2 linked regions of the Notamacropus eugenii genome follow. The protein of the gene in region 2 purifies or fractionates together with the protein of the main gene of each other region. This does not show direct contact. Links are inferred from orthologs where the notes say so. Each region holds a gene or a part of one and is shown on either strand. Other genes may lie near its edges.

Region 1 (16,455 bases), on a different chromosome or scaffold from region 2:
GAGTAAATAATAATGGAAAATGAGGTTAAAAAAGACCCTTTCATTTTTATTAGCAGATTCAAGTTTATAAGTTTATATTCTTTACAGTAGCATATTATGGAGAGAAATTATCTTTTTTTAAAGAAAAATTAACATAAAATTATTCTCCTTAACTCTTTTTTTTTTGAAACATAGGGCATACTTTGTAAATAAAATACAAATTTCATTTTATTGTATTGACTGTATTAGGAATATCATAAAATTTAGGACTGTAGAGATCATAGGATCATAGATGGGACTTCAGGGGTCATCATTTCCAACTTCCTTCTTTTACAGATGAGGAAACTGAGGTCCAGGGAGGTAAAGGGAGTTGTCCAACTAAGGTCACATGGGTAGTAGGCATCAGAGTCCAGGCTGGAACCCAGTACCCTGACTCCAAAGGCAGTGCTCTTTGCACTGTACTATACCTAGTTCAATTTTCTCAGTTTAAAGATACAGAAACTGTGACCCATAGAAAACTAATTTGCTGGAGGTCAGAGACAAGAAGCCAGGATATGAATCCAGGCTTTCTGCAACCCAACCTAGGGCTCTTTCTGTCAGACTCAGGCTGCCTCATTGGCATTGTGTGCCACAGAAAAGAATAATTTTTCAGAAACGACTGAAATGTTTAGATGTGGATTCAGGCAGGTATTCTTCAGAGTTCCCTGTTAATTATTGGCAAGAGGGCTTCTAACATGGGAGGCCCATTTTTCCTGTTCTGAATTCTGGATTCTAGGTTCTTTGCAATAGTTAAATCAGTTCTAGATTTTCAACAGCTTGGTGTAGTGGATAGAGTATTGGTCTTTAAGTTAGGAAGACCTAGGTTCTTATCTTGCCTCTGACCCTACTTAGCAGTGTTGGGGCAGCTAGGTGGTACAGTGGATAGAGCACCAGTGCAGGAGTCAGGAGGACCTGAGTTCAAATCTCACCTCAGACACTTGACACTCACTAGCTGTGTGACCTTGGGCAAGTCAGTTAACTCCAGTTGCCTCTTCTTGGGTCATCTCCAGTTATCCTGAAGAATATTTGGTCACTGGATTCAGATGGCTCTGGAGGAGAAGTAAGGCTGGTGACCTGCACAGCCCTCCCTCACACAAAGTCAAGTGCAAGTCATGTTATCACTTCTCTGATAGCATGGTCTTCTACGGCAACAAAGGACGAACACACACTTAGCAGTGTGACCACTGGCCAGTGGTCTCTCAGAATCTCACTTTCCTCATCCATAAAAATGGAGATAAATAGAACTGGCTCCAGAGGGTGGAACAGGCTTAAATGAACATGTGTGAGCAAACCTGAAGAGCCACTTAAAACCTCTTGGGCTCATACTCCATGTACACTGCACCATGAGCTCCTCTACTGAGGGCTCCTTTTTTGGATCCAATCGTTATTCCCTGGGATCCTTCATTGGGGCTGTATTTACATGAGGTCAGGAGCTCAACAATTTTTATAGGAGGGGAGAAGGGTAGAAATTTGGGAGACCTATGAAATGAAGCAGTACAGATGACTAGGAAAAAAATTAACACTTGGAGAAAATGGGGAAGGGCCTGAGAGCCAGTGGGACGTGCAAGAGCTTTGCATCTGTAGTCATCAAGCCTAGGTTCAAATACTGAGTGCTATCAATTAACTGTGTAACCCCAGGCATGTTACTTGCCTTCTCTGATCCTGTTTCCTAATTTTTAAAATTAAGTCATTGGACTAAGTAATCTAAGTCCCCTTCCATCGGTAAATCCTGTGAAAATGCAATGTAATCTGAGGGACAGAAAGTCAGCGTGATCAATAGTGGGGCCAGGTGGTGACTTTGCCATTTAGGATTCTAGGTCACACTTGCACAGTTTGGACCATCAGGGAAAAGGAGATCCACATGTGGTTAAGCTAATCAAACTATGACTCAATCGTCTCCCTAACATGTGAACTGTATGGAATATATATTAAGGTATGCAAAGCACTTTCTACATAAATTACTCTCTCATGAGAACTTCCACCACCCTGTGAGGTAGAGACTTACGGATATTACTCCCATTTTCAAATGAGGACATTGAGATTCAGAAAAGTTGTTACATGACTAGTTAACTATCAGAGGCAGGATTTGAATCCAGGCTTTCCTTTCTTGTCTCCAACTGTAGCACAATAGCCTCTATCTTGGTGCCTCAGTACCCTGTTTATGAATGAAATTATCTTGTCAATCAACCAATTCCTCAATCAAGTGTTTGTTGATGACCTCCTTTGTGTGAAGTTCTGTAAGGAAGGAAGGAAGGGACTGGGGGAGGGACAAGGATGTGATCCTTGTCTCCTGGGAGCTGTCAGACCAGTCAATGTGCTGAATCTAGAAGTGAAGGGTTTTCAGTTTCAGTTCAAGCTCTGCCAATAATTAGTTGGGTTCTCAGAGGAAAGTCACCCAATGTCTTTGGACAGGTTTCCTTGTGTGTGAAATAAGGAATTTAACAGATTCCATCATTTTCAACTCTAAAAAATATTTGATAACATAGAATTCACATTGTACATGAAGCTATTTCTGTGTTGCTATGCTCAGGGGAGAGAACACTGGGCCTGGAGTCAGGAAGACCTGAGTTCAAATCAGACCACAGATACTTACTAGCTGTGTGACTCTGGGCAAGTCACTTAAAAATCTGTTTGCCTTAATCCACTGGAGAAGGAAATGGCAAACCACTCCAGTATCTCTTTGCAAAAAAACCCCATGAACAGTATGGTTCACAGGCTCATGAAGAGTAAGACACGACTGAGCAACAGAAGCACCAACTTAATCAGTTGAAAAGTGAAAAAAACAAACCTCGGTTAGTCATAGGACACCAAGCAGCCAATTCAATATAAATTTTCACTTATTTGAATTTTTTTGTTTTGAAGCTGAGTTGAGTAAATTGGCTTCTGGTGCTAGATTTTATAGAAATTACACATGTGTATTTATACTTTTATACATTTATACTACAGAGGATTATTTACAGCCTACTGAACCAAGTGTCCATTATATTGTATATTGATTAATTGATAGGTCACAGATTAGACAGAAAAGTAGATGATAGATTAGATAGGTAGGTAGATAGGTAGATAGATAGACAGACAGATAGATACTTTTATCTTTTGAGGAAAAAGTGACAGTCTTGGTTTTAAGCTTAGCCATTTGCTTCAAATGACTAAATCCGTCCAGAGACACCAGTAAACAATTCCCCTACCTAAAATTCTACCTAAAATATTGATTCTTAAAACTGAAATAATTTGCCACCACCCTCAATGCACATATCCTATTTCCTCTCCTGACCTACTCATCTCTAAGAATTAATATTAATAAGATATATATCCTAGACAAATAGAAATAGTTCGCTAATGTGTTGATATGAAGCTGGTGACATTGGAGAGAAAAAAAAACACATGACACTGGAAAGTTTTAACATGAGGTTTCTCCTGCATTTTAGAGGATATGATGAACTTCAGTCATCACACAACCATGACATTAATAGTCTGATTCTTAAGAGCTTGAGAAACTCACAAGTGAGCCTGCGGAGCAGTATTTCTAGGTTCCTATAGCATAACTACATGGCCACATCACAGGGAAGCAGACAGCAAATAACTCGGCTCAGTCAGATTCAGCTGTAGCCATGTTGAACCTCACCACAGTCTTCTGGAGGAAAAAAAAAGACTGTCATAGGGACAGTCATTATCAGCATGGTTCAATGGAAGAAGAGAGGAATTGGAGTCTGAGGACTGGGTTCATCCTTGTTCTGGTACTTTCTTTTTTCATGGAGGCTATCAGGGTTAAATGACACAGGATCACACAGCTAGTAAGTATCTGAGGTCAAATTTGACCTCACGTCCTCCTGACTCCAGGGTTGGTTCTCCATCCACTATGTCACCTCGATGTCCCATTTTCTGTCCCTTCTTACCTACATGACATTGGCAAGTCCCTTACTCTGTCTGGGCCTCAAGTTTTTTTCCTCTGCAAAATGAAAGGCTTTGACAAAATAACTTCTGTGGTCCCTTTAAGTTCTAAAGCTATGATAACCTAAATAGTAACACCTGATAAAGGTGTTTATGACCAGAAGGCTGGCACAGTCTAGTGGATAGGTCATTGGAATTGTAATCAAGACCTGTGTTCAAATGCCACACAGACACTAGCTACGTGACCTAGATGAATCACTTAACCTCTGTGCCTCAGTTTCCTAATCTATAAAATGATGTATTTTGACTTGATCTATAAACTCCTTTCCATCTCTAAGACTATAAATTTTATGATATTTAATCCTTTTACATTTAGATTTGTGCATCTGTGCTTATCTCAGTTTTGAACTCATTTAGTACTATGGAAAGTTCTTGAAAAGCCCAATGTTCCATGCATGTATAAATCATTTTAAAAAAGCCTATGATTTACTCATGCCTAGTGAAGAAACTTCCGCTCCCAGTGCAGATCAATACCTGCTCTGTAATTTACAGCCAGAGAATTGCCTAAGGTACTAAGAGATTAAACGAGTCTTTGGGATCTCTAGCAACTGCCTTATAGCTACCTCTTACTCTGATTTCTGAAATGGGGAAACTTTAATCCTTTAAATCTAGGGTGAACCAGTTATAGAAATGATATATAATGAGATGGGCTGAATACAAGAAAGTCAGTAATGTGTTCCTATCTTTGGATAAAAGATATTTATGGTGTTATACCTGTCATGTCATAATTAAGGTTACTTCAGGAAGGTTACTTCCTGAACACAAAATTGAACCACAAAACTGAATGCACATTTAGCAATGGTAAAAATCTTGGTGCTTTTTATAAATAGCATCAGTTAAATTGCTGTATTTAGCTGATAAACTATTCAATTAACAGAGTTGATGGTGCTCCATTTGAAGTTGAACCCCTTCCTGCTCTGCCACTAACTAGTTTGATGTGGGCAAGTCCCTTCCTCAATCTGGGCTTAACTTTTCTTATCTGGAAAATGAAGGGGGTTGGTCTGTATGATCCCCAACATCCTTTTTGCTTTGAAAATTTTGTGAATTAAATGAGAATAATGTCCTTTGAACTCACTGTCAAACTCAATAATTCAACAGAAGCAGAACCTCCCTTCCACTTCAAGGAAAACTAATCCCATTTGTCCAAATACAACTTTAAGTGCTAGATTTGTGCAATTTAATCACGCTGTACAAATTGATTTATATCCTAATGATTTCCCTCAATGAAACAATGATTCATAGCCTAATTATTGACTGTTGATGTGTATAAAAATAGGCTCCACTGTTTTAAGATAATTGTACACAGCAGATAGGTTAAAAAAAGCCACCTTATTACAACTAGCTTGAAAGACGAATTTAATCAGCAAATTCTGGGCATGGCAAAGCAATTTCCTTTTTTTATTCATTACTTTCTTTTAGGCAAAGAAGCTTAGGTTTTTAAGCTCCTAGGCAAACTCCTCTATAAAATGAGGGGTTTGGACAAAATGATTTCTGAGGTCCCTTCAAACTTTAAAGCTATGAACATTTAAACAGTAACACTTGGTAAAGGATGACCAGAAGGATGGTATGGTACATTGATAGCATGGGGAACCAATGGCCTCAAGGCCACATGTGGCATTCTAGGTCCTTGGGTATGGCCTTTTATGACTGAGTCCAAATTTTTCAGAACAAATACTTTTATTAAGGAGATTTGTTCTGTGCAGTTTGGATTCAGTCAAAGGGCTGCACTTGAGGACCTAGAGGGGCATATGTGGCCTTGACCCTCAGATTCCCTACCCTGGGCATAGTAGATAGGTCACAGCTTTTGGAATCAGGAAGATGTGGGCTCAAATCTCACTTATTAGCTGTGTGGCTCTGGTTGACTCTCTTAATTAGGAAGTAAGATTGGATCTTGTTAAATCTCTACAGAATTTCTGTAGAGATTGTGCACACAGGCAGCCCAAGCCATAGGGTCGTTTCTCACTGAAAGGAGCAGTGGGACTTGGTGGTCCCCTGGGTGTGTGAGCAGCCTTTTAAGAATCGAACTGCTCACCTCCTAATGTGAGGAAGAGGGCTAGAAAAGGTGCCCTAAAAATTATCTGCTAACCCAACACTGGCCTGATTACCATGGCAGGTGGGGAATTCTATTCTGCCGTCGAAACACAAAAAATGTACAAAAACATCTGCAAAGATGATCCCACTCACCATTGGCACATGGAACATGGGCACACTTATAGACAACACAAAATCCAGTAGACCTGAAAGACGAACTGCTCTTGTTGCAAGAGAACTCAACAGGTATCTCGTCCAAATAGCAGCCCTGAGTGAAACCAGGCAGGCAAATGAAGCCCAGCTTACTGTAGCTGGAGTTGGATACAGTTTTCTGGAGTGGCCATGGTGAAGGGGAACAGAATACAGAGACTAGGCCCTTAATAAATGGTATATTTTATTTCTAAGCAAATAATGAAAACTACATTCATTAAATTCAAACTTTAATTTATTTAGCACATACTATATGTAGGAGACACTGAGAGACAAAAAAAAGAAAAAAAATAGTCTTTATTCTTAAGGAACTTCCAGTCCACTGGGGAAAGCAGCTAAGCACATGGCAAATTATGTTCTAGCAATGGTGTGTGAATCCAGGGGTGGAGTTGCTATTCTGATTTGGGGGCATCCCATCTCTTCTAGGGGGTGCTCTTTTTTCCTAGTTCCTTCCTTGGGTGGATTCCAAGGGGAAAGCTATACCTTTCTATCAATGAATGAATGAATGAATGATCTTTTACTGAGCACTAGCACAAAGTACCGGAAACACAAATACGGAAAAAAAAAGCAAGACAGTGTCTGATGTCTCCGAGTGAGAGAAAGCCTATCTAAAAGAGATCAGGTGCAAGGCTCAGGAGGTCAGTGCTTGGGGTATGGAGGGTTTGGGTTAGGAGGCTTGGTAGAGTTCAGACGCCTTAAGGAGGCAGTGGCAGGGCACCTGGTAAGTCCTGGTCTTTCACTTCACTGAAAGGTTTGTAGTTTATAGTTAGTGACTGAGCTCATCCTAAGGCTGGGAGCAGCCATGTCCAGACACTTAGCTCTTCCTTATTGGGTACTCTATTGATCTGGATGAATCTTACCTGTTTGTTGAACTGAGCTAGAGTACTTAGTTTCATCCAATCTAATAAGTATTTATGTGCCTACTATGTACAAAGCACTGGGGACATAGATAAAATGCAAAACACAACTGTGAAAGGGTCCAGGGTTGCATATTCTGCCTTATTAAAAAACACAAAAACCCCACCAAATCTAATTCTTTTAGAATTAGGGCGATGCTTCTGGATGACCAAGTGTTGCAGTATATAGTGCTGTGACTGGATTCAGAGAAGCCTGAGTTCAAATCCTGGTCAGACACTCAGTGGCTGCGTTTGCCACACTTCGGTTGTAAAATGGCCAGAGTTAAGAACACCTACGTCCAAGGGATGATGGTGAAGCACCGAGCACACTGCCTGGCTCACAGTAAGCACCATGTACGTGCCGGCAATTATCTTAAGGCAAGGGGAAAGTCTTTGGATCGTCAAAGGCACTGAGGAAGCCTCAGCAGCCGCGCTTAGCGAGGCGGACTCGGTGCCCACAGCAGGATATCCCTCCCAAACCTGACATTTCCTCGGATCCAGAATCACAGATAAGAGATACGTGGGTCTGGAGGATGCCTGAGGGGCAGTCCACGTGTGAGGAGTCCTTGTCCACCTCTGGCAAGGAGCGCCCCAAGGGGATTCCCCGCCGGCGCCCCAGAACCCAGCACCGCTGCTTCTCCTGCCAGACCCCCCTGGCTCTGGCCACGGCACCGCCAGGGTGACCCGGGGCTCTGCTCGGGCACCCGTCCCCCAGCACGCAGGGGCTCCGCCTGTCACCGCCTCTGCCCGGGACTTGGGCTGGCTCCGCGCCTCCGGACAGGCTGGGCAGGTCACCTCGGTCCTCCCGGCGATGCCCCGAGCCCAGAGCCGCCCCCGGGCGGGCCCACGCTCCGCGGGCGCAGCCGGGGCTTCTCCAGGCCTCCCCCCCCATTCCTGCGGCTCTGACGGGGTGGCCCCAAGTTCTCTTACGTCCCCTCTGCTCTAACGTTCTAGGTTCTCCCCCTCTTCCCCCCGCTCCCGCTTGGTTCTGAACGTCTTCTCTGGTTGTGGACCCCACGACACAGGAGACGTGAGAGCCACGGCGGGAGCGCAGTCGGACGTCAACTCTCGGGGAACGGACCAGGGCCGAAAGCTCGGACTGAGCCGCAGGAGGCCCGCAAGAGGAGCCGGTACCGGACGGCGGCCCTCTGCGCCTGCGCAGGTCTCCCCAGCGTGGCCGCGGACTCCCGGAAGTGGGATGTGGGAGGCCGCAGCCTCCGCCGCGGCAGGCGCACCTGCTGCTACAGGGGCAGGGGGCGGCCACATCCGGGCATTTCTCCCCCCCCCCCCCCCCGTTCCCCTGAAGTTCAGAGCCGTTGGCCAATTTGAAAAGCACGCCCAGCCAATCAGCCTGCACCCACGGCGGCGGAGCGAAGGAAGGAGGGAGGGAGGGAACAGGTGGAACGATGGCGCCCAATCAGAGACCGCTCGCCCGCCTCGGTCTCTCGGACCAATGGGAAGTGAATTGACAACACGTGCGCCTCTCCTGGGCCAATGGGCGAGCCCCTTAGGAGGAGCCGCTCACTTTTGAATTGGCGGCGGCCGCGGCCGGCGGGGAATGGCGGATGCGTCTGGAGGCGGTGGAGGCCAGACTCGCGGTGACAGCGACAGCGGGTGAGGAGGTGGTGGTTGTGGGGGGCAAGGGGTCCAGGGGCTGGGCTCGGGGAGGACGTGCTCTGCGCCCCCGTTCCCGCCTCGGCTGGTGCGGGCGCGGGAGAAGCCGGGGCTGGGGCGCCGCCCTCCTCTCCCCCCTGGGTCAGGCGCCCATCCTTGACCCTTAACCCCGCTGGGCCTCGGTCTCCCCTTTTGTAAAAAGGTCTCAGCGCCCCTCTCCTGCCGCTCGAGGGTCTTGTGAGGCGCTGGAGTTGGGGCGGGCTTGATGTCCACCACCCCATCCCCCTTTTCCGCGGTGGGGAAACTGAGGCCCAGGGAGGCGGAGAGACTCCCCTGGTCTTGGGGGTGTAAGTCCCATCACCTCCCTGGGTCTCAGTTTCCACTACTGGCAAACGGCGCTTAGCACACAGTAGGCGCTTAATCCGTGCGCACTGACTTGGGCCGGATCTCCCTCCAGGTCCAAGTCCCCGTCTCAGAGGCTGGAATCTGCCCCCCTCACCCCCACCCCCAAGTCTAGGGGAAGGAAGGAATAGACATTCCATGAAATGATCCGGGGGTGGGGCCGACTCAGCCCCTCCCTCCCTGTCCTGTACACCCGTTCACTTGCTTTGAAAAAACAAAGGGAGGATAATATTTTCCTCCTATCAAGCAAAATCAGCAGGCACTTATTAAGCGCCTACTGCACACAGAGTCAGCGCTTAATAAACGTAGGATTGGATCTCGGGTGAGAGGTGGAGTTGGCTGTAGATCTCCCACCGAGCCCAGCCCCAGCCCAGACAGTTACTGGTTGTGGGCCCTCTCAGAGCCTCGGTCCTTGTGCCTAGTTTGCTCACTTGGACTGTGAATGGTGATGGACTCTCTGCAGGACCCCTGTCAGGCTCATTGTGAAAGCTGCTGCATCCTTGGGCCGCATTAAGCAAGGCCTGGGGGCCAGGAATGAGCTGTCCTGGGCAGGACTGGGGTCGGAGCTTTGGACCTGGAAGGGACTTGAGAGCTCCTGCCTTTGCAAAAAGGCATCGACCCACGACATTGGAAGGTTGTGTTCATTAGTCAGGACGCTGATGAGCTCTAGCAAGTGAAAAGGGAAAGGGAGGGGATGCTGCAGGAGAAAGAATCTAAGGAACTGGGGATATTTAGCCTGGAGGACTTGGGGGAGAACTCTAACTGCCTTCAAACATTTGAAAGGCTGAGGAGGGTTAGCCTTGTCTAAAACTAGGAGCAGTGTAAGGGAAAACTTCTTCGCAAAATGAAAGGGACTGCCTCCCAAGCAAAGGCTTGGATGATCGCTGGGGTGGCACAGTATGTTCTTGTTCTAACTGGTGGACTGTCAGCCTCTTCCGGCCCTTCCAGGTCCCAAAGAATGTAACAAATCTTAAAACGCTGTAGAAAGGTAAAAGTTATTACTATGATCACTCAGACCTGAGCTAATCCAACCAGAAGCAACAGAAGTAGGACAGATTGCAGTTATTATTCTCTCACTGTCACCAGCTAGCCCAGGCATTCTAGTTCAGTCCTTCTGCCTGGAAGGTAATTCAAGGTATTTCAAGACCTCTGTTGAAAGGAAATCTAAAGAAGAGAGCTTTTTTAAAATAGCAAATTATGTTTGACTTAGAAAGTGATTTGCAGCCTTTTATCTTTCATCAGACTTGCTAGAGGGGGGCTTGCATATAGGAGCTTTACCTAAGTAAATTACAAAATGTATTTTGAGGAGTAGCAAAAGGTTACTGTTGCCACTTTAAATACTATGTAAGTTTCTTGAGGAAGCTCTATATTCTTTCTTTGTATCCCAAATACCTAGCTCTGTGCCAGCCATAGTAGACACTTAAATTATTTGTTAAATGAATGAGGGCAAATGATACTTTTGTTTATTTCAATTCTCGACTTTCCAACGAATCTTTGGATCTTGTTTATTATCATAGTTCTATCACTTCTCTGAAATTCCATGGAAATTCTTGAGTCAGAAACTGACTTTGGAATAGTTTGAAAGAGCTGATTGAGTAGGGTACACTTGGGGAAACATTAGTTTTAAGATAATTCTTTTCACGTCCTTTTAAGTTTACATTTTTCTTTATTAGTTTTAAAGAGACACCATGTAAAGTATGTCTAAAACTTAAAAAAAAAAAAGCAAACAATTTTTTTTCCTTTACTGGAATTTCGAACAGCATTGAGGGCAGACCTGAGGGGAGGGGAGAAGATGAACTAAGGGTTCAAGATGATTTGAATGGTCCCTGTTGCTTTAAAAAGTTGGTCAAAGATATTTTCCCAAGAAAAATTTCTCTGAACTGACCTTAGAGTCTGTTTACCTTAGAGCTCCACTAAAAATTCTGTAGTGAGAGTCCAGTAAATGTAGTTTGTAGATGTAGATTGCCCATTATCATCTTAGGAAGTTCTAGCCTCAGTCAGGGGCTTTAAGAGTTCCTTTCACATATATTGGAATGATTTGATGGTTTCTGTCATCGTGAAGGTTTTTTTTTTAGGTTTATCATACACCTGATCCTTAGCTGAGTCAAAGTTACTGTTAGAACTTATGATTTTATATAATAAGCATAAAACTGTGCACAGATGCTTAATACATGTTTGAATAAGTCTCATACCAAATAAAGACCATCAGGAAACAAGTGTTTTTGTTACATTTGATATCTTAACAATTATCTGAGTGCTTTTTGGGAAAAACTTAGACACTATTTCTAAATTATTAGGAATTGTAATTAGGTATTAAAAATGAGGATAGCAATAGTATGCAAACCGGGAAAAATGAGAATTTGTAGTACTCACATAGAATTCACTTTTGAATAGAATGAGACCGCTAAGTCTAAAGAAGACCTTATTGTAACTCACTTGGAATGCTATTTTCTGTTTTGTTCAACCCCACCCCCTTCTCTCTCTTCAACTCATATTGTCCTAGAAATAGACTGTTTGCAGACTGATGCCAAGCACCAACCTGTGCAAACTTGTCCTCTTTCAAACCATTTCAGGAGACATGGCTAAATGTTTCTCCTAGCAGCAGGATTTCCGGCTTCATCTGAAGAGAAAAAAATCTGTATCTTAAAGTTTTCAAGTAGAATTGTGACTGAGAAAAGATCTTTGATTCAGATCAGTCAGAAGAGAATTTATTGTTTGCCCCTGTCAATTTAAAGGCAAATATGAAATGGTCTGTGTCCTCCAGGGGGTCACAGTCTATTGAGGGGATACTATCAATCAGCAAGCAATTGTGAAGCACCTACTGTGTACCAGGCACTAAGATATAGGGAATACAAAAGATAAGTGAGAGCATCTGCCCTCAAGAAGCTTATGTTCCAAAGGGAGAGAAAATATACATGGTAATACATATAGAAAACATACAAAATAAATGGAAGGAACTTTGGGAAGGGGGTGCACTAACAATTCAGTAGAGTAGGGGAATCCAGGAATTGTTCTGTGGTACATGGCACTTGAGTTTGTCTTCAAACGAAACTCAGAAATTTCAGAGGTGGAAGTGAGAAAGGAGTGCCATGGGTTCAGCCAGTACAGAAGCACCCACATGGTCATTGTAATGCCCTGTGTGAAGAACAGTGACAAGCCAATTTGGATGGACCAGGGAGTTTGCCTGGAAGAGGGGTTGTTGGTCTGAGCCAATGCTAAGCAAAGCGGTTGTATTTTATCAGAGAGAAAATGGGGAGACATTGGAGTTTACTGAGTAGTTAGACCTAGGCTTTGGCAGCTCTAGGGAATGGATTGGGGAAAGGAAGACAGACCAGTGGTTCCCAAATTGTGGTTCCTGGATCTGGACCTGCAAGGTCAAAACTATTTTCCTAGTAATACCTGAGATGTTATTTGCCTTTTAAAATACACATCCCTTTTCTAATTACATATCTGTGTGAGGTCAGATTTCTTCATATACTGCAACCAGAAATTGTAATAGGAGTTTGAATGCAGAAATAGATATGAGAATCCAACTGTCTTCTATTAAGCCAGCCATTAAAGAGATTTGCAGAAATCATTAAAACAGTCCCACTTTTATCACTAATTTTTTGGGAACATATAGTTATTTTTCATGAAAAATATTATTAACATTTAGTGATTTTCCTGTTTTTTAAAATAAATTAGTAAATATTTTAAAAATTTATGAGTTTTAATTTCTAACATTTTTATCAGTAAATATGAATACATTTAACCCACGTAATCCTCTTTGGAATCCTCAATAATGCTTAAGAGTATAAAAGGACCAAAAAGTTTGAAAATGGCTGGATTAGGTTATTACAGTAGTTCAGGTGAAAGGTGACAGATGAGGACTCAAACCAGGATAGTAGTTGTATTTTTAGAGATCTGAACATGGTCAAGGGATGTTTATCACCTGCATAGAGATAATTGAACCCATAGTAGGTGAGGTCACTAAGAGGAGTATAGAGACAACAGGGCTCAAGACAGCCATGGGATTCAAGTGCCAACTCTGATATGTACTAGTTATGTTAGCCTGGGGAAGTTGCTATACTTTTTGGTGCTTTAGGTTGGAGTTGTGGATGGAATTGTTATTCAAATAGGTGTTCATTCAAACCAATCCATTACTGAGATTCTGTGAGGTGGGAGGGATACTCATTTAAATGAATACTTGTTTTAAAAGTGAAAAATACTGTTATAATGTGAAGAAAGCAGCCAGCTTGAATGGAACCTGTATTCATGTCCAGTATAGAATCCTCTGAGGTTTAACCTTGTAAAGTAGAGATCTGGTCTTAGACCCTAGCAGAAAGGAAATTAGAAAATCATTTTGGGATCATTTGTGAATTGAAGTACATTTGTAGATGAATGTTCAGGATCCTTCTCATAGCATAGACAGTTACCATCAGCAATATAGCTACCTTTGTTTTGATATTATTTGAGTCTAGAGTTAGATTCTTGGTGTGGTATCCCTACCTCAAAGGTAAATCAGCCTTTTCATCATGTGCAACTGTCCTGCCTCTTCCTCCACAAGGTGGGGAGGGGGGTCAGGAGGAAGATGGCTTATGATTTGACAAGCTCTTCTAGGTTCCACTTTGGTGGACGGCTGGACACTCTTGGTTTTTTCTTGTCTGATAATTAACTTCCAGGGACAGTGTGCAGGCTCTCCAGACTGGATAACAGTGTGGTCTAATGGAGAGAGCACTGGGTTTGGAGTCAGAAGACTAGTCTCAGTTTTGCCTCTTCTAGTTATTGCTAAGGGATTAGTTATTCCTGTTTACTCCTTCACTTCCTTCTCTGTAAAGGGAGGGACCTGGACTATATAGGACCTTTGAGGTGATTTTCAGGTCTAAATCTGTGATCATGGAAATCACCTAATTTTACATCCTCCATATAATGCCTGAAACTGAGCACATAAGAACTGAATTTGTGATTTCACTGGCTGCAACATCTTCTCAGCAATTGATGGCCTAAGAGAGTTCATCAAGGTGTTGTGAGGTTAAATGACTTGCCCAGGGTCTCACAGCTAGTATGTTTTAAGAAGGACTTAAACCCAGGGCTTCCTGGCCCTAAGACCAGCCCTCTGTTCATACACTTGCATCAGGAAGAAGAGTGGCTGGAGTATTTTTTCTGTCAGCACTTTAGATTATTGGGAATGAAATTATATATCGAGAATGGGAGAATGCAGTGATGAGTGTTTGTGTTTATGTATTATCTTCAGTATTATATATTGGGTTATAAAGGAAACATCTTTAAGATTCTTGACTTTTTCTTGAACTTCGTTATGTATTTTTACTTCTGATGCTTTTATATTGAATATTAGTAAGGAATACAATGAATCTCAATATTAATTCTGTAACTGTATACATCGGACTACATTTTATACTGATAGACATTGAAGATGCTTAAGAAGTAATTAAATGATTTCTTTTTAAGAAATTGTGGGTAAAAGCAAATTTATCCTAAAACAATGCTTAAACTTGACTGGATAAAAATAATTTAAAAATAATGTTGCTATTCTGAATTTAAATTTCTTTTGAACTTTTAGGTAGAAAAGTTGAGAAGAATCAATGATGGCTGACAATAGTATATTAGTATCTACTGCTGGGAAGAGTCTCTTGGCAGATACCTCCATTTTTGATTCTAAAGTTCCTGAAATTTCTAAAGAAAATGAGCTTATTGGATCCACTTCAGATGCTGATGGTAATTATCAAAAAAATTTCATGTTTTTAAATGTTTTCAAAGCTGAATAATTTTAAAAATAAAAAAAGGGGAATGAAACCTAACTTTGAAGGTGGTGGCTGCTCCCTTTGGCTGCGTAGGTACTTGTTGGGTTAGGAGGTATTGAGGGTTCACTTTCTCATGTGAATTGGACTAAATGGCTGCTGAGGTTTCTTCCAAGTAAGATATTTTGTGTTTCTGCTTTAACAAGCAAACTGTCTGTGGAAACTGTTTGTGCTCTTTAAAAGAACCACCAAATATGGGTATCTTATCAGTAAATGTTTATTGACTCTGACCATGTTTTAGGAAAATAAATGGCACAGAAGGCACTTCGAATTTATGTTTATGTCTGGGTACAGTAAGCCTTTGTTGTAACAAAGTACTTAAATTCAGTAGAGCATAAAGTAGATATACCTGGTCTTCTGTTAACTTTTACCTTTAACTTTTTTTCCAAATGGATTTCCCAAATGATCTAAAGTGAAACTGTACAAAAAACCAATTTCATCTCGGTCTACTTTAAGAGGGTTATGATGGGTAACTCTAAGAAGTTGATGGTATTCCTATACCTTTCCCTCGTCAGACCACATCTGGAGTGTTGTATTCAGTTCTGGGTACCACATTTTTAGGAAGGATATTGATAGACTGGAGATTATCAAGAATGGGGCAACCAGGATGGTGAATAGCTGCAAGACCTTACCATATGAGGATTGACTAGAGGAAATGGCGATATTTAGCTTGGGGGGGAAAAACGTAACATGATAACAGAAACCATGTCAAACGTGTCATGTAGAAAAAAGGGGGTTGCAGAAACAGATTTAGGCTTCTATATAATTAGAGGTATATAAAATAATTGACTGTCTAGAGAGACTGTTAATGGAGTCTATGTCATTGGACCTTTTCACTGCCTTGATGACATTTGATGAGAGGGAATTCTTGTTCAGACACTGGTTGGAATAGATATCTCAGATCAGTTGGTGAACAAACCTACTAGCAGCCAGGTACTATGTTAAGTGCTGGGGATACAAAGAAAGGCAAAGAGCAAAACAAACCACCCAAAACTCAAAGCAACAGTCCCTGCTTTCAAGAAGATAATAATCTAGAGGGAGAGACAGCATGAAACCACTCTACCAACAAGGTGTAGACAAGATCAATTGGAGATAATCAATAGAAGGAAAATATGAGAGACTAGATGTTCCTATAAAAGGTAGAATTCTAGCTGAGACTTAAAGGAGCCAGGGAAGCAAGGAGAGAGAATTCCAGGCATGGGAGACAGTCAGTAAAATAATTTTGAAGATGAGTGACTGAAATTCTATGTCAGTATTCACTGAACAGGCTAGTCACTGATTGAGAGTAGCTCTAGTGTATTTGTAACTTTTCTGCACATGTGTATTCTGTTTTGTTATTGTCACATTTTTAAATCCCAAATTATATCTTGTAATATTTTCCCTGTCCTCTGAAGTGATATTTGGTAGTTCCACCTGTCGTTGCCTCCCAATTAATTAAAACTTAATTGCTACAGGACATTTTAGAGGGTGCTAATCTGCTCCTTGAGTGAACTGAAGACATATGGAATGACACCATGGAAGGGAAGGGAACCATT
Region 2 (16,622 bases):
GGTTGACTCTGGAGCTGAAAAGTATTGTGCACTAAAGCACTGGCTCCAAAATACAAGGGATCTGGCCCTGGCTCTCAGTAGGTAGTTTATGGCCAAGTTCTAAGACCCAGGATTCCCCATCTAGAAAATGGAGTTAATGCCTAACAGGGATGCTAAAGACGTTTTAGAAAATTAACATTGCTTGCTGAAATTCTGTTGGTTTCTTTATTGTAGGTCACAGTCACCAGCTATTTCATGTGTGTGTCATCTTGGGAACACACTTACAGATGGAAGCCATATTTCTGGACATGACATTGAGAAAAGAGTGGCTTCTAGCTACTTCAATACCTCCCTCTTTCGCTCAGACAGCTGGGGCAATATGTCTGTGTGTCATCTTCAGCTTCATTAACATTGCTTATTTCTCAATTGCTCTGTATCAGACTCCAGAGCCAGAATTACAAAAAAAGGAAACATGATCCAGCCTATAAGCTTTTCTAAATATGTAGAATAATCTGATTCTGTTTTAACTATGTTACCACTGAAAAGTGGCACAATACTTCTCATAAAATGCTATGATATTCATATTGGATTTGTGAATCAGCTTTTGTGAGTAAGCTGGTGTGGGAGAGTATTTAAGTGGGGGAAATGTCTCAATTTGCACTGATTTTCTATGTAATATGTTAAAGACGGAGAGAAGTTAGAACGTGTCTCTGTAAGAACAGATAAATAATATTTTATGAAGTTTAAATTTATTTTGATCAACTTTTCAACTTGTACTACATGTTAAGGGCTAAGCATATCATTAATTTGCCTTTACACTACAGTTTTTGAAGAATCGCTTTACTTTACAGTGAGATTCACATTGAGTATCATCCATCAACAATTCCATTAACTTCCATGCTTCCAGTCCTTCTAAAAGAGAGATGAAGGTAAAAAAAAACCATTGGGAAGATGCAGAAAAAGAGAAAGAAAAGAGAACTAGATATTGTAGGGATTGAGGGGGGAATGAAACCTGGAGAACATTGAAAGACTCCATTCCCTTCTCCATTGGTTAACTATCTTTCTTCTCTCTGCTAGGGAAATGGATGCAGAGTGTTCTTTTTCCCTGCATTCCATCTGGTATTCAAAGTAGCAGGTCCTATCTAATATACTTGGTGAGCAGATCTGGATTTTAGAAGTATATTCTTAGAATCCTCTACAAATGGCTTACTATTGTAGCCTATGAAGTGTTTTCCTATTGCCAATGGGATGCAGGAATACAAGATTTAATGGATATGCAGTATTTAAAATAATGAACTTTTGGTGACCAAATATTAAACTGTGATTGTTGTTTTTTTCCACTGAATCAAATAATCATATATATATGTATATATGTACACACACATATGTACATATTCCATAGACTTTTAGAAAGTCAGAGTTGGGAGGTGCCTTAGAAAAATCATCTAGTCTAAACCTCTCATTTTATAGATGAGGAAACTGAGATCTAAATAAAGTGTTTGATATTGAACCCCAAATCATAAGTTCAGTTGTTCCTAGGTCTGTTTAATTTCTCTAACAGGTTACACAAATAGTCTTTGTTTTCTTGTCTGGTCTCTTTTCTTTTTTTCCCCTTCCCTTCACTGCCACTTCATTTTAAGACCAGGGCTTAGAGAGATAGGGCAAAATTCTCCATGAGGAAACAAATATTCAAGCATGTACTTCCTCACCTAGAGGAAAAAGCTTGAATTTAGATTCAAACACTGGAATAGGTAAGCCACAGTGGCCTTGTAGGTTAACATCTTCCTAGCAGCTCAACATGTGTAGGAAGTTTTTTGGTTGTCACAGAACCAAGATTTAAAATCTCACTGGGTGCTCCATGGAGACGTTAACACTATTGCCATTTCACATTTATATATTGCTTTTAACTTTTCAAAGTGCCTTTGAATTTATTAATTTCCTGGGGATTCGCTGGATATTCTCCCCATGTGAAAGATAAGAAAACCGAGGCTCAAGGAATTGGAGGAAGGGCAGTGTTACTTAGTCAGCAATAAATTCTGTTTGCCTCAGAATTGCCTTATTTAGACGCACCTTAAGGGAATGTGATGGAAATTATGCCTATTGTTTCTCCAAAGGTGCTGTCACCAAGGGGAGAAGGGCAACAACTAGGGAAGGATAAAGAGTTTTGATGTGAAAATCATAGGAAGGGAGAAGGATTATTTTCAATAAAAAAAGGATCTTCCTCTTTCCTATGTTGAATATTGCCTCAGTTTTAAATATACTGCAGGGATTAGTGTTAGTGTGCCAAGAATGCTAAAGGCCAAAGAAAGAGAATGTAAGATATGCCAAAGAATACATGAAAATCTGCCCATAGGGAACATCTTCAGCATTCATCAGTTTAGTATTCAATATCTCAGTTCATAAGGATTTTCCCATCTTGGTTCAGACGGTTTCCACTTCTAAACAGGATTAAAACTCTTTGTATTCATTATTTGTTTCAATACAATGCTTTCATAGGACTAGGGTTAAGTGTCTGCAGAAAGTATAGAAATTGTGAGACAATAAATTTATAATGGACCCACTTATAAACTCTCCTCTTTCAGATCATATTAGAGTATAATTTTTTCTCATTCATGAATACCCTAAATATTTCATTTGAAATGAAACTGATCAAGATCCTAGAATAATCGTGTACTCATTCAGGTAATAATTTATTATAGATGCATAATCAAGAAATATAATTTCATGATATTATCAGTTTACTTCCTGTGGATAGAGTAGACTGGCAAAATAAAATTATGTAGGTCGTACTCTTTGGTACTTTATAGTAGTCTGCACTGAAGGATGAGCTATTGGAATATTCTTACATTAGAGATATTAGACCTTTATTGGCTTAGCTCACTCTTACTGTAATCTTAAATCTGTGGTGAATATGTTCAGTGATACAAATTTTAAATGCTTTTTTCTATTTATGCAAAAGACATCATGGTGATGACTGCAATGTTATTTTTATTATGTATGGTTGCACAGTGATGACAATTTGCTCAAGAATTGGATCAGAAATGATTAATGAGGACTATTAGGTTTTTATGGGGTAGATGTGAGTTATCTTTCAACTTGCATGTGACAGAATAAATTGTTAAAATCGACAGAATAAATAACCAATTTTTTCAAAACTTTCTACGTTTGGGTATATTATATCTTGGTAGAGGTATAATGCATAAGATTTTTTCATAAAGTTTATGGTCAAAGATACAAAATGACTTATAAGACATGAATTTTAGAAATTTTCTTCTAAAGTAAACTAAGAATTATTTACAAGTTCAAGAAATATCACTTACATTTCCTTAGGGATAAGAACTGGACCTTTGGGCTCAGTGATATATATATAGTACTTACAGATGAGGGAACTTTCTACAAATAAAGTTCAGTTCCTTCTCTGTAACTTATCAACAGACTTGCCTACAGTTAGAGCTTTGAAAGGTTAAGTGACTAGTCTTGGATCACCTAGAACTTCTTGATTTTGGGGGCCAGCTCTATATTTATTTACTCTACCACAACGCCCTGCCCCATCCTCTCTCCTCTCTCCTTTCCCATCCCCCTCTCTCTATGGAGAGAGGTAGAGGGGATACAGATATAATAAGCAGTATCATATAAAATGATATGCAGTTATGTCTTAGTACCATTAGAAAGCTGAAGGAATGGCAAGCAGTTTACTGATACACCCAATAGGAGTATATCTTGTTATCCTCAATTTTCCTAACATTGCAATTAAGGTAGATTATGTTTGGAAGAAGTCATTTATGTTCAGATCATACTGATCACTTTTAATCAGTACCTGAGAAAAGGCTGTAACTCCTTAAGTAGCTATGCAATGTCTCTTTTCTGAATAAATGAACTGATGCTTACTGATAACAATATAATGATAATTTGGAGAACCTTAAATGACTGTGGCTATAAAATTGATATGAATAACGTTTGGTCTACTGATTAGACCACAAACATGAACTAGTTGAATGTTGGTTTCTTGCCAGAGATCCATTATGGATGAAAAGATAAGGTCAACTGAGCCCCCTTTCTAAATAAGAGATGTTTTTCAAATTGTGCTCCCTGTATAGATTTCTTGTTTCTAAAAACATGTAAAATAAAATTTATTTATTATAACAATTCATTTTCCCCATGATTTTGGTCATTTTTTTTTATCACTTCATAAATACACATTTATTTAAGAAGGTTGATGACAGATAGTTCACTCATGTTGGTTAAGAGGGTTTTCCTTTTAGAAATACAGTATCAGAGGTTTTCCTAGATAGAAAAAACATGTCAATACAGCCTTACTCTGTCAGTCTGAGGTGAATTTGGATAAGCTTTATTTAGCTACTTAATTTGTCTATTAGCTCAATTTAGGCACACGTGCCACTGTTGCAGTCTGAAATGGCCATCCATCTTCTATATATCAAACATATTTTCCCTTTGTGTAAACCTTGTTTAGACATATCTACTCCATTAAGACTCTAATGTTCACTTCAGATCAAATAATGGTCAGGAAGTACAAGAAATGACTGTAATTCTTTCAACCTCAAATGGCATAAGAGGTCAGCTAGAAGCCCAAGGGCAATAGGTAAGACAGGCCACCAGCTAAGTCAGCATCTGCTAGTGCCACTAGAGATGGACCTGGGACAGTGTTTCCCAGGAATGCTGTCTAGAGGCAGTATGAGCAGAATCTCCCCCTGTAAAGCCTCAGGGTGGTCAGAAAAGCCTCAGGATAGGAAGCTGGGAACCAGAAGGCATCACTACAACAGAGACCAGAACACCCCAGGCCCAGGGGGCTCAGAGGCTTCTAACACTCTGTTCTGAGATGCTACAGAAGGTCCTGAAAATCCAACGCTCAGAACCTTAAAGATCAGGAGTTCTTAACCTTAGAAGTGGTTACCAGTAGAATGCAGATGACCGAGGATAAGCCCAAAACCATTGCACACAAAAGCACATTAGAGACTGTCACTGTCCTAATTCAAGAGCTAAAGCTGGAGAAATAAGTAAATCAAAGAAAGGAGAAATCAATATCAAAAATTATTGTAAATCTAGAGATTCCCCCAAATGAAAAAACATGTAACTATAACAGCTGCAAGCAGAGGCACCAAGGAAAAGAAATGGATTTTGAAGGAAAACATAAAAAGTGAAATAAAATCTCTCCTGCAGGAAAGAATTGAAAAGGTATTAAATAACTTAGACGAGAATGTGGTAAACTTTATCTAAGAAATAGAAACTAGAATAAACCAAAAAAACCCCAAAAAACAAAAAACCAGTGACTCCATGAGATGGCAAAAATTATTATAACCAAATCAAAAAGGTAAAATACAAGATATTTGTTAATAAAAGCCTACTGACCTGGAAAATAGATCCAGGGGAGATAATTTATTTTTCTTTTTTAAAAAATTTAATTTTAGTTTTCAACATTCACTTTTAATAAGATTTTGAGTTCAATTTTTTCTCCCTCCCCTCCCCTCTCTGCTCCCCAAGATGGCATATAATCTAATATAGGCTAGAAGTGTACAATCATATTAAACATATTTCCACATTAGTCATGTTGTAAGGAAGAATCAGAACCAAAGGGAAAAACCACAAGAAAGAAAAAAACAAAAAAAGAGAGAGAATAGTATGCTTCATTCAGACTCTATAGTTCTTTCTCTGGATGAAGGGGAGGTAATTTTAAAATTACTGGATTTAATGAAAACCACAGTTTTTTTATAAAAGCTTATACACTATAATTTATTATTTTTTAAGTAAAGAGACTTAATTTTTTTTAGTTCTGAATTCTCTCCCTCCTTTTTCCCCCTCCCTCACCCAATGAGAAAGCATGAAAAACAAAACTTATTACAAATATACGTAGTCATGCATGACAAAACTGCATATTAGCCATGCCCTCTTCCCCTCTAAAAAAGCAAGAAAAAAATGCACTCTGAGTCCATCAGCGCTCTCTCTGCAGGTGAATAGCATGCGTCCTTTGGAATTGTGGTAGGTCACTGTGGTGCTCACGTCGTTGTTCTCCTGGCATTGCTTACTTCATTTTGCAGCAGTTCATAAAGGTTTTAAAATCATTTCTTTCATCCTGTCTTACAGCACAATAGTATTTGTCACATTCGTATACCATAACTTGTTTAGCCATGCCCAATGGGGATCCCTTAAGTTTCTTTGCTACCTTAAGATTCTTTGCTACCACTAAAAATTTATTTTTGTACATATGGATCTTTTTCCTCTTTCTTTGCTCTTTTTGGTGGATAGCCTGGAAGAGAAGTGAGGCTGGTGAGCTGCACAGCCCTCCCTCACTCAAAACAAAGTCAAGTGCTAGTCATGTCATCATTCCTCTGAGGGTATGGTCCTCTTCGGCATTGAAGGACGAACACAATCCTGTGAGTAGATGCAGCTGGCTGAATAGGGACCCAGCTAGCTGGGTAACTCAGCTTCCCTTCCCATCTTTTCCGTTTCCAAAACCTTAAATCTACTACACTCTGAAGCTAGGATGACAATGAGCCCCTGCCCAAGGGCTCTTCTGGACCCTCCTTAGCTTTAGAGTGATTACCAATAGTAATTGTTGCTGTTTCCCACCCACCCTGATGTCTTTGTTTTTCTTGACCTTATTAAAGGGGCCATGACCTGGCTACTTCTTAAACAGGACTATTCAATGAATGGGCGTTACCTCACCCTAAGTGAGTGCCTGCAAAGACCTTGGCCTAAAGGGCCCAAGGTCACCTAGTGCATCCTTGGTCATCTCCAGTCATCCTGAGAAATATCTGGTCACTGGATCCAGATGGCTCTGGAGGATAAGTGGCTGGTGACCTTGCACAGCCCTCCCTCACTCAAAACAAAGTCAAGTACAACTCATGTCATCATTTCTCTGATGGCATGGTTTTCTTCAGCAATGAAGGACAAATACAACACAAGGTGAATAGCCTTAATAGTTGTACCTTTGCTGGGGCAAAGGATATGCAGTTCAATAGCCTTTTAGGCACAATTCCCAATTGCTGTCCAGAATGGTTAGACTGATTTACAATTCTACCAATTGCATTAGTATACTTGTTTTTCCCTTATGTTATTTTCTTTTTTGTCATCTTAGCCAATATGATGCATATGAGATGGTACCTCAGAGTTGTCTTAATCTGCATATCTCTATTGGTGATTTACAGCATTGTTTCATATGGCAATTGATGGCTTTGGTTTCTTCCTTTGAAAACTGCCTATTCATATCTGTTGATCATTTATCAGTTGGGGAATGGTTCCTATTATTGCACATTTGCCTCAGTTCCCTATACATTTTAGAAATGAGATCTTTGTCAGAAAAACTTATGGCAAATAATTTCTCCAGTTTCTTGTTCTTCTTACAATTTTAGCTGCACTGGTTTTGTTTGGGCAAAATCTTTTAAATTTTAGATAATCAAAATTATTCATTTTACCTCCTGAAAACCCTTGTATTCCTTCCCTTATCCATAGATGTGACAGGAAAGTTTCCCTCTGATACACTAATTTTTTTATGCTAGCACTTTTTATTTCTAAATCATGAGCTCATCTTTGAGCTTATGATGGTATATGGTATGAGATGTTAGTCTATGCTAGTTTCTGCTAGATTTCTTTCCTGTTCTCCCAGCAGTTTTTGTCAAATAGAGCTCTTGTTCCCTGTAACTGGGATCTCTGGGTTTATCAAACACAATGTTACTGTGTTCATTTTCTTTTGTATATTAGATACCTAATCTGTTTCACCGATCAATCTATTTCTTATTGAGTACCCAACTTTTCTGACAATTACAGCTTTGCAATACAGTTGACATCTGGTACTCTTAGTCCCCCTTCCTTACCTTTTTTTTTCATGGATTCCCTTGATATTCTTAACCTTTTATTCCTTCATATGAATTTTGTTATTTTTTTCTAGTTCTATAAAGTAATTCTTTGATTATTATGGAATTGAATAAGTAATATTGCCATTTTTATTATATTGGCTCAGTCTATTCAATTAATTTTTCTCTGATCTGTCTTTGTCGGAAAAGAGTTTCAAAACTGTGTTCATATAGTTCCTATGTATGTTTTGGCAGGTAGACTCCCAAATATTATAGTGTCTGTTGTTATTTTAATAAAATTTCTCTATCTCTTCCTGCAGGATTTTGTTGGTAATACACAGAAATGCTGACGATTTGTGTGGTTTTATTTTGTATCCTGAAACTTTGCTGAAATTGTTCATTGTTTTGACTACTTTTTAAGGTGACTCCAGGTTTCTCTAGGTAAACCATCATATTATGTACAAAAAATGACAGTTTTGTTTCCTCATTGCCTATGCTTATTTCTTCAATTCTGGACATTATACTTTAAAGAATTATAAATGAAAATTGCCCAGATCTGTTACAACTAGGGGACATAATAAAGACAGAACCTACTAATCATCTTCTGAAAGAAACCCCAAAAGTGAAAGTCTCAGGAATGTCACAGTCAAAATCCAAAAGCTCCCAGATCAAAGAAAAAAAATATGAACTACAGTCAGGATCACATAAGACCTGGTAGCTTTTACTACAAATAGGAGGGATCTTGGAATACAATGTTCCAAAAGGCAAATAATCTGGGTTTACAACCAAGAATAAATTACTTGGTAAATCTGAGTATAATCCTACAAAGAAAAAAAAAGTGAACCTGCAATGGAACAGAAGACTTTCAAGTATTTCTGATTAAAAAGATCAGAGTAAGCAGATTAATAACTTTGAAATATTAACAGTCTAGAGAAACCTGGAAATGTAAGTTTATTTGAAAGGAATTGAACAATGTTATTAACATGGAAAGACAAAACGAGTGTCCCTTTATAACCTTAATCTTTTTAAAGAGTGTGAGGGAGTAAAACGGTGATGAATATGGGTAGGGGGTAGGGCATAACATGGATTTGCTCTGAGGGTTGGAAGGAAAGAAAGAGTAAAAGCAGAATATTACTAATGTGAAAAGGAGGAAGAAGGGCATGAAACCACTATCATAACTGGGGAATAAGAAAAGAGCAACATTGTAACAACAGAGTAACAACATTGTAAAGAAAAGCACCGTTGAAAGACTTAAGCCTGATCAAAGCCAAGATCAACCACATCTCCAAAGGGTCTATGAAGAAACTTTGTTTTCCACTTCAGGACAGGGGTGATGAACCAGCACAAGGGTGGCAAAAAGAGACATAGAATTTTGCTGGCGTACCGAGTTAATTGATTTTGCTTGGTTATGTTGATTGTTGCAAAGGTTTCTTCACCACCTTGCTGAAGACTCCTCCCTCTACACCTCTATTATCGTAATAGCCGGCGGGTGGGCTCTCCCCACTCCAGTTCATCCTCCCTTCTACGGTCAGAGGGATTTTCTTAAAACGCAAGTCTGACCGTGTCACCTCCAGATCACTTCGAAGACAAATACATAAAATCGCCCGGCATCTGGAGCTCTTCATAATATGCTCCCCCCCAGTCTCTCTCTTTCTTTCTCAATAACGAATAACCTGACGCTACCAGGCTGCTTTCCTGGTCTCCAGAAACTCATCATCCTGAAATCCTCTGAGAGACGCAGACAGACAGACAGAATTACCTGCAGCCCTCTCGAGGCTCTGGCTGCCCCCAGGCCTATCACGCTCACGTCCCAGCCTCCCCAAGGCCCCGCTTCTGCTTGTCCTGTCTCTACCACGTCTGTCTACAGCGGATGGCACGCTGCCCACCGGCAGCCTGGGAGCTCCTGGCTTTCGCTTTCCCTGGCACTCGGGAATCGTCCAGCGCTGGACACTGGCTCGGAGGGAGGATGGCGGAGGGGACGGACACGTGAGGGGAGATGAGGAAGGCCGCAGCGTAGCCTCACACCGCTCAGTACGTAGGCAGACAAGACCCGCCACCCAGGGCGTTTGGGATTGCGGGGCGCGAGTACCAGAAGTCGGGTCACTGTTTTCCTTCCGGAAGGGAAGTTTGCCCCTCAGCTGTTGGTTTCCTTGGAAACGAGTCCCACTTCCGTCCTCGAGGGGGGACGCTTCCCGCCCGAAGCCACACTCTTTGCCCCGCCCCGGAGCACGTGGGGGGCGCCGTGGACGCTGATTGGTCCGTTTGAAATGCGCCGGGGGCGCGCGCCCGCCCGGTCCGGTTTGCCTCGCTGGGCGAGGGTGAAGAGAGCGACCGTTCGGCTTGTGCGTCAGGGAGCTCTCGGGGACCCGAGCGCGGCGACAGAGACCCCCCAGCCTTCCCGCCAGCTGGCCCCGAGCTCTCTCCGCCGCCTGCCGCCGATAGAGCGCCCGCTGCGGCCATGAAGCCAGCGTGAGTGTCCGCGTCGGGATAGCGCGACTTGGCCGCTGGGCTGGGGGAGGGGAGGGGAGGGGGCTCCCGGGGGCAGGGGTCGGGCCCCGGGGCGAGACCCCCCTCTTTTCGCCCCGGAACGGCGATCCCCGCGAGTGCCATCGCCCGGGCTCCCGCCGGGAGCACAGCCTGGGGAAGGGAAGGCGAAGCCTTGGGGTGCGTGGGGCAGCCCCCCTCCTTCCTCGGGGCTAGGAATGGGATGCGTCCCTCCTCCGCTCCCTTGTCTCCAGACCTGACCTGGCGTCCTCCTGGACTCCGAAGGCCTTCCCCATGCTTGCCCCGCCCCTTCCCACTGTCCCCAAACTTTCTTCAGGCAAACTTAGCAGAGGAGGTAACGGAGGCCGGCTGCCCTGCCCCCCTCCCCTCTCCCGGTCCGGTTCCGCGCCCTTGTGAGAAGGGGAGGCCAGGCCACCCATTTTTATTCATATCTTTTGTTTTTACTTCACCTTGGATTTCTTAAGTGAAGTCATCCCTGTGAGTCATCTGCCCCTCTTTTAAAAAGGGGGAGAGGGAAGCAGCAGTAAAACCACCCATACATTAACTTTTTCTGATAAGACTTAGTGCTGTGGGAAACTGCTACGATTTGGGGGACACCGTGTTATTTCACACTGGTAGTTCCCGTCTATCACTCCTTTACCCCCTTACCCTCTCCCTCCCTCAACCCCCTCCTGCCCCTGGCAAAGAGACTTCAGCCTTTTTTTTTTTTTTTTTTAAATTTAGAGGTCCTTGGAGGGAGGGTATTGTATGTAGGTCTTTTTTGTTCTGGTCTTAAAAAGGATAACCCTGGTATTGCTTAGAGATGTAGACTGGTGCAATGAAGGAAGAACTGGACCTGTATTTTAAGACCTGTCTCTGCCAGATACTGTATGACCTTGGACAAGACAGAGCCTCTGTACACCTTAGGTTTCACCATCTGTAAAAGGGTAACAGCTACCACTCCTGCTTCACAGTGTTGGCTCTGAGAAAAGCCTTTAAAATGCTAAATATGGGCTATTATTGAGTACTGTTAGATGATGTACTGTCATTTAATTGTCTGGGAATCAGAGTAGTAGAGAAGCTCATTTGTAGGGTGATTATTATCATTCTTTAACTGGAGCAACTCTGTAAACTCTTTACTAAGGGGTAAAAGGTTTGTGATCTGCATCTGTAGAATTAGCTCCCACACCATTAAAATCACAGATTCTTGAAGATAGAAACGTCAAGTCCTACCTCTGACACTGAATGAGCTGTGTGACCATATTATTTAAGGGGAGGAAATGTGACAGGTACTGTGTTAAACACTTTGCAAATATTATTTGCAATATATTTCAAATATTATCTCTGTATCTCTGTATAGAAATGCAGCTCTATGTGTAACTCTCTATAACTAATTATAATTTATATATGAGCTGCTCATGAAGGAGAGTGGCCACTTTCCTAATTAGTAGATTGCTATTGATGAACTCACAGTTCTAGACCAAGAGATAGAAACTATAGACGTAGTGAAATGCATTGAAAATACATGGAAGTAAAAAAGAAAACCTGTTAACAAGTAAGAAATTTATGGTTTAGGGCATAGGTATCTGAATAGGAAGCATAACTTTTTGTAGGAAGGAAATAATGGTGTTTGGTCTGAGCATTCATTCACCCATTAATCTCCCTCTATTTTACCTATTGCCATCAGACTTCTTCCTACCACTTTACTGAAACTGCACACCATTGTCCAATTATTTGCAAAATTCAGTGTTTTTAAAAGTCATTCTTCCTTACTGACCTCTCTGCAGCTTTTGATTGTTGACCAGATGCTTCTATTGGTAACTTTCTTGTTGGTTTCTCATATCCATCCTTGACTCTTTGCTTTGGAAATTCTTAAGTGTCTGTCCTTGGCTCCTTTCAATCAAAAAGAATTCATTAAGAACCTACTATTCCCATACATTGGAGATACTGGTACAAAGAATGAAACAATTCTTACTCACAGGGTACTTATAGTCTCAAAGTGAAACAAGTATATATAGAATCAAGATGGAGAATATATACAAATTGGTTAAATATAAGGTTAAATATATAAATTATATAAATATAATGAGATTAAGAAAGGAGGGAGATTCTGTGAGGCAGAGATGACTGAGGATACTCCATAAGTGAGGGATAGAATACAAAGGACAAAGATAGAATAGGAATTGTCATTTGAGGAACAGAGAGAAGGCTTGCTTAGTTGTGTCCTGGAGTTCAGGAGAGGAAGTAAAGTCCACTGAGACTGGAAAGATGAATTGGGATCAGGTTTCTACTAGGGGCTTTAAAGTTTATGAGTGCTCCTAAAAGAAATTGATTTGTGCTTGTCCTTCATGCTCAAAGAGGACTAAAATGACGTTACCATGTCTGGGTCAGGGTGCAGTATGTCTGACAGTGGCTGATCAGACCAGTAGGAGCTCAGAAGCTCTACCACAGTCAGGCACAAATAGTCCACATGAACATTGCACATCTCATGTTCCTTTTGAGCTGCTGTAATTTTGCTGTGCTTTATGAGCACAGCATCTTCTTGGGTGTGAGCGTGCCATGCTTGACAATCCTGTACAGTGTCTCCCATGTCTCATAATAGATTCCTTTGTTCTTCAGAGAGACCTTGAGAGTACCTTGTATCTTTTCTTCTGACCTCTGTGTGAGGATTTGCCTTGTGTAAGTTCTCCAAAAAATAGTCTTTTAGGCAAACTTAAATTTTTGAACAGTGTGACCAGCCCATTGGAGTTGCATTCTGTGCAATAGAGTTTGAATGCTTGGCAATTCAGCTTGAGAAAGAACCTCAGTGTCCCATACCTTATTTTGCCAGAGTGGTCTTCAGAATCTTCCTAAGACAGTTCAGATTCAGTTTTCTTGAAGAAATTGGGAGCCCCTGGAGTTGGAATAAGAAAGTTATAATTTTGTCAGCAGTTTACAGGGTAGATTGGAATGGGAAGAGATTTAAGGCAGGAAAACCAAGTGATGTAGGCAAGAGATGATAAGAGCCTGAACTAAGTTTGGAGCTTTGTGAGTAGACAGAAGTGGTCAGATTCCAAGACTCAAGGAGGCAGGAATTGCTAAATTGGGTAACTGTTGAATATGTGGGGGGAAGGAAAGTAAGGAATTGAGAATAGTGCCGTCTACCTTGTTTCCCATATATAGAATCTTGTTTTTTACTTTTCTCACTTTTTACTTCTAATCCACTATTAAATCACGTTAGTTCTGCCTCTTTGACATCTCTCATGTCTTTATTCCTTTTGCCCCGACTCTTATCCTACTGCCCTGGCAGCTACATGATGCAGTGAGTAGCATGTAGGGGCTAGATTCAGGGAGACTCATCTTCCTGAATTCACATCTGGTCTCATACACTTACTAGCCATGTAACCTTGGACAAGTCACTTAACCCTGTTTGTCTCAGTTTCCTCATCTATAAAATGAGCTGGAGAAGGGAATGGCAAAGCACTCCAGTATCTTTGCCAAAAAAAAAAAAACCCATATGAGGTCATGAAGAGTCAGACACACAACTGAAAAATAACTGAACAACAAAATCCTACGACTCACCTAGACTATTGCAGTGGTCTTCTTAAAAGTCTTTCTGCCTGCACTTTCCTTCCTCCAACCCAATCATAGCCAAGAATAACTTTTCCAATAACTTTTTACTTGTTCCTTATTGCTTAGTAAACAAAGATGTTTTCTTTGCTTGGCATTCAAGGGCTGCCACAGTCCAGTGCCACCTTACTTTTTTAGCGTTGTCCCATATTGCTTCTTTCTGTGTGCTCAGTTCCCTCTTTCCTGGGTACCCACCTACATTCTCCTGCTGTGTTCATTCTATTCCCTACTCTAGGAATGACCTACCCCCTCCTTACCTGTGGATTTCTTCCCATCTTTTAAAAAACCAACTCTGATGTCACTTCCTCCATGAACATCTTTGAGAACTGCTCTTCCCTTCTGCTTTAATAACATTATTTCCTTTGGAAATACTTTGTTTCATAAGTCTCATGTACTTAGTTGTAACATTCTATATGATAATTTTGTTTTGATATTTTATCTCTACTAGACTATATGCTTCATGAGGGACAGAGACTTTGTTTTGTATGAACTTTGTATTTTGGTGATAAGCACAGGAATTTGCATATAGGAGGGACCTAAGTATATGTTGAATGTTAAATTTAGTGAGCACCTTTTGCATGTATGGTATTTTGTTAGTTACTGTGGGAGGCACAAAGATGAATTAGATGAATTTTTTCCTCTCAAGGAAAGAAAATGTAGGGGAGGTAGAACATACATATAGGCAACTGTGCAATAAAATATGATCCATGCGTAGGAGAGGTACAAGAATCAGTGGGATTTGGAGGAAGGAGACCTTGATTTTTCACTACAGAGACTGATCAGGAGTGGCTTCATGACAGAGGTGTCAAAGGGGGTTTTGAAGAATGACTCTGATTTCAACACATAGTCATGAAAAAAATCAGGTTTTTTTCTTGAAACATCATTTCTTTGGTTAAAAATTAATTATCCATTTTCTGTGGAGTTTTTTTTTTCCCTGGACATTGACTTGTTGGATTGATAACATTAGACTTAGTTTTCCTGTTCTTTGAGGCTTTTTTCAGATGAGAGTAAACAACGTTCACCTTCAGTTCTTAGTTATATGTACATTTTCATTTGGATTATTCTCTGCAAATTTTATGTTAACCACAAGCAAATAAGAAAGCTAATTTTAATATGAACTTATGAGTCTAGTTTTTTAAAACTTCTTTTAGAGTCAGTAGTAATGGTTAACATACATTCCATTCATTAAGCACCTACTGTGTGCTAGGCATTGTGCTAATCACTGGGAGTACAAACAAGAAAAAGAAAGACAGTCCCTACTCTCAAGGAGCTTACAATCCAAGGAAAGAAGACCACACAGAGAAGGAAGCTGAGAAGTGTGTATGAGTGAGTGTGCTAGAAAGGGGTGAAGAGATGCACCAGGAGGCATTAAGTTTTTTTTAAAGTTTTATTCCGTTTGAACTTGGGGGAAAAAACATTTCTAAGTACACAGCACAATATAATGAGAGGATTCAATATAAAATCATAAATTTTCATTTTGTACTGTTTACTTTTGTTGGAAAAAACTACGTAGTACTCAGAGTGGAGTTGAAACCTAGCAGAGCGATAAAAAATGGAGTCACCTGGAAAGTTCTGAGCCTTCTCCAAAGCTCCAGTTCTCCAATCAGAGGGGAAAGGGATCTTAGGGGATTAAGAAGGTGTTGAGTGTCAAAAACTGAATTAGTCTACATGATGGTGAGATTTCAGGTGATTAGGTTATCCCAAGAGAGGCAAGAGATTCCATAGAATTGAAACCATACAGAGCTACTGATGATCTTGACAGTGATAGTGCCTTGTTAATATTCCATTATGTATGGATTGAAGAATGAAAGTTTATTATCACTGTATATTCTTTTATTATTATTATCATTATTAATAATAAGGAAGATTGTATAAAAATAGGAAAATTAAAGGGAAGAATTTGTTTTTGTATGCTAACTTTGCACTAAGATTTTGATTTCTTTTATGACCAGGAAAAGTAAAACTCCTAGGAAGCCAATTCTAAAGAAAGGAACCCAATCAAGTCTCAAAGATCCAGTTGGGGTAAGGTCGCCTTATCTAATTTCTTTTAACTGCTCTTTTATGCTGTATTTTACTACTTAAAAGAGTAAGAAAAAAAATGTGCAAACAAATTAATTGAAGTAGGGTTTCTGTGGCCAAAGAATTCATCATTTTGTGGCCAACCTGTTGTTAATGAGTCTTAGATACTCTGGCTCTTAGGTAGCAGATGCGGTTTGTCTCTGGGTATTCTGAGCCCTTTATTTTTGTAGAACATGCCAGTGCTTGTGTTCTGTTGGTATGGACTTTTAGAACCCAGGGTTTTAACTATGCTGTGATCATATGTAGTATAGTGAAAAGGGGACTACATTTGGAGTCAGGAAAGGTCTGGGTTTGAATCCTCTTCAGTAATTTAGTAGAAGTGCAACTGTGAGCACATTGTTTTATTCTCTGTTTCTCAGATTTCTCTATCTGTAAAATGAGATTACTGTTGCCTATAGTACCTGCATCACTGAGTGGTCATGATCAAATGCAATCGTGTAAGTAAAGGCATTAGGTGGAAACCTCACTTAGTCTGTTTGTGGTCAAGGAAAAAGAAGGGATGGGAGAGGATATAAGAATTGACTGCAGAGTCCTAATTATTAATTAACCATATTTCCAACTGCCTGTATTCATTGAAAAGTTTGCAGGTTTATGTTTTTCAGTTCAAAATAGTGCTTCATTTTAAAGATCTCCTTTGTCTTGGGCTCGTAAATGTGCCAGCAT

What was found.
Region 1: the proteins of KIF23 (region 2) and ECT2 purify together in Homo sapiens (co-immunoprecipitation; 3 studies listed by BioGRID and IntAct, with this or other methods). This does not show direct contact. The link is inferred for Notamacropus eugenii from reciprocal best matches to the Homo sapiens genes KIF23 and ECT2.

The regions. Positions count from the first base shown.
Region 1 is NC_092877.1:351,525,913-351,542,367, reverse strand, and holds the start of ECT2 (protein ECT2), read left to right. Parts: upstream 1-8,573; 5' UTR 8,574-8,720; intron 8,721-14,682; 5' UTR 14,683-14,704; coding exon 14,705-14,837; intron 14,838-16,455. UniProt on the Homo sapiens protein: Guanine nucleotide exchange factor (GEF) that catalyzes the exchange of GDP for GTP. Promotes guanine nucleotide exchange on the Rho family members of small GTPases, like RHOA, RHOC, RAC1 and CDC42.
Region 2 is NC_092872.1:132,834,904-132,851,525, forward strand, and holds the start of KIF23 (kinesin-like protein KIF23), read left to right. Parts: upstream 1-10,131; 5' UTR 10,132-10,245; coding exon 10,246-10,256; exon of another isoform or gene 10,257-10,257; intron 10,258-15,832; coding exon 15,833-15,902; intron 15,903-16,622. Other genes in the region: PAQR5 (membrane progestin receptor gamma), read left to right, coding at 214-455.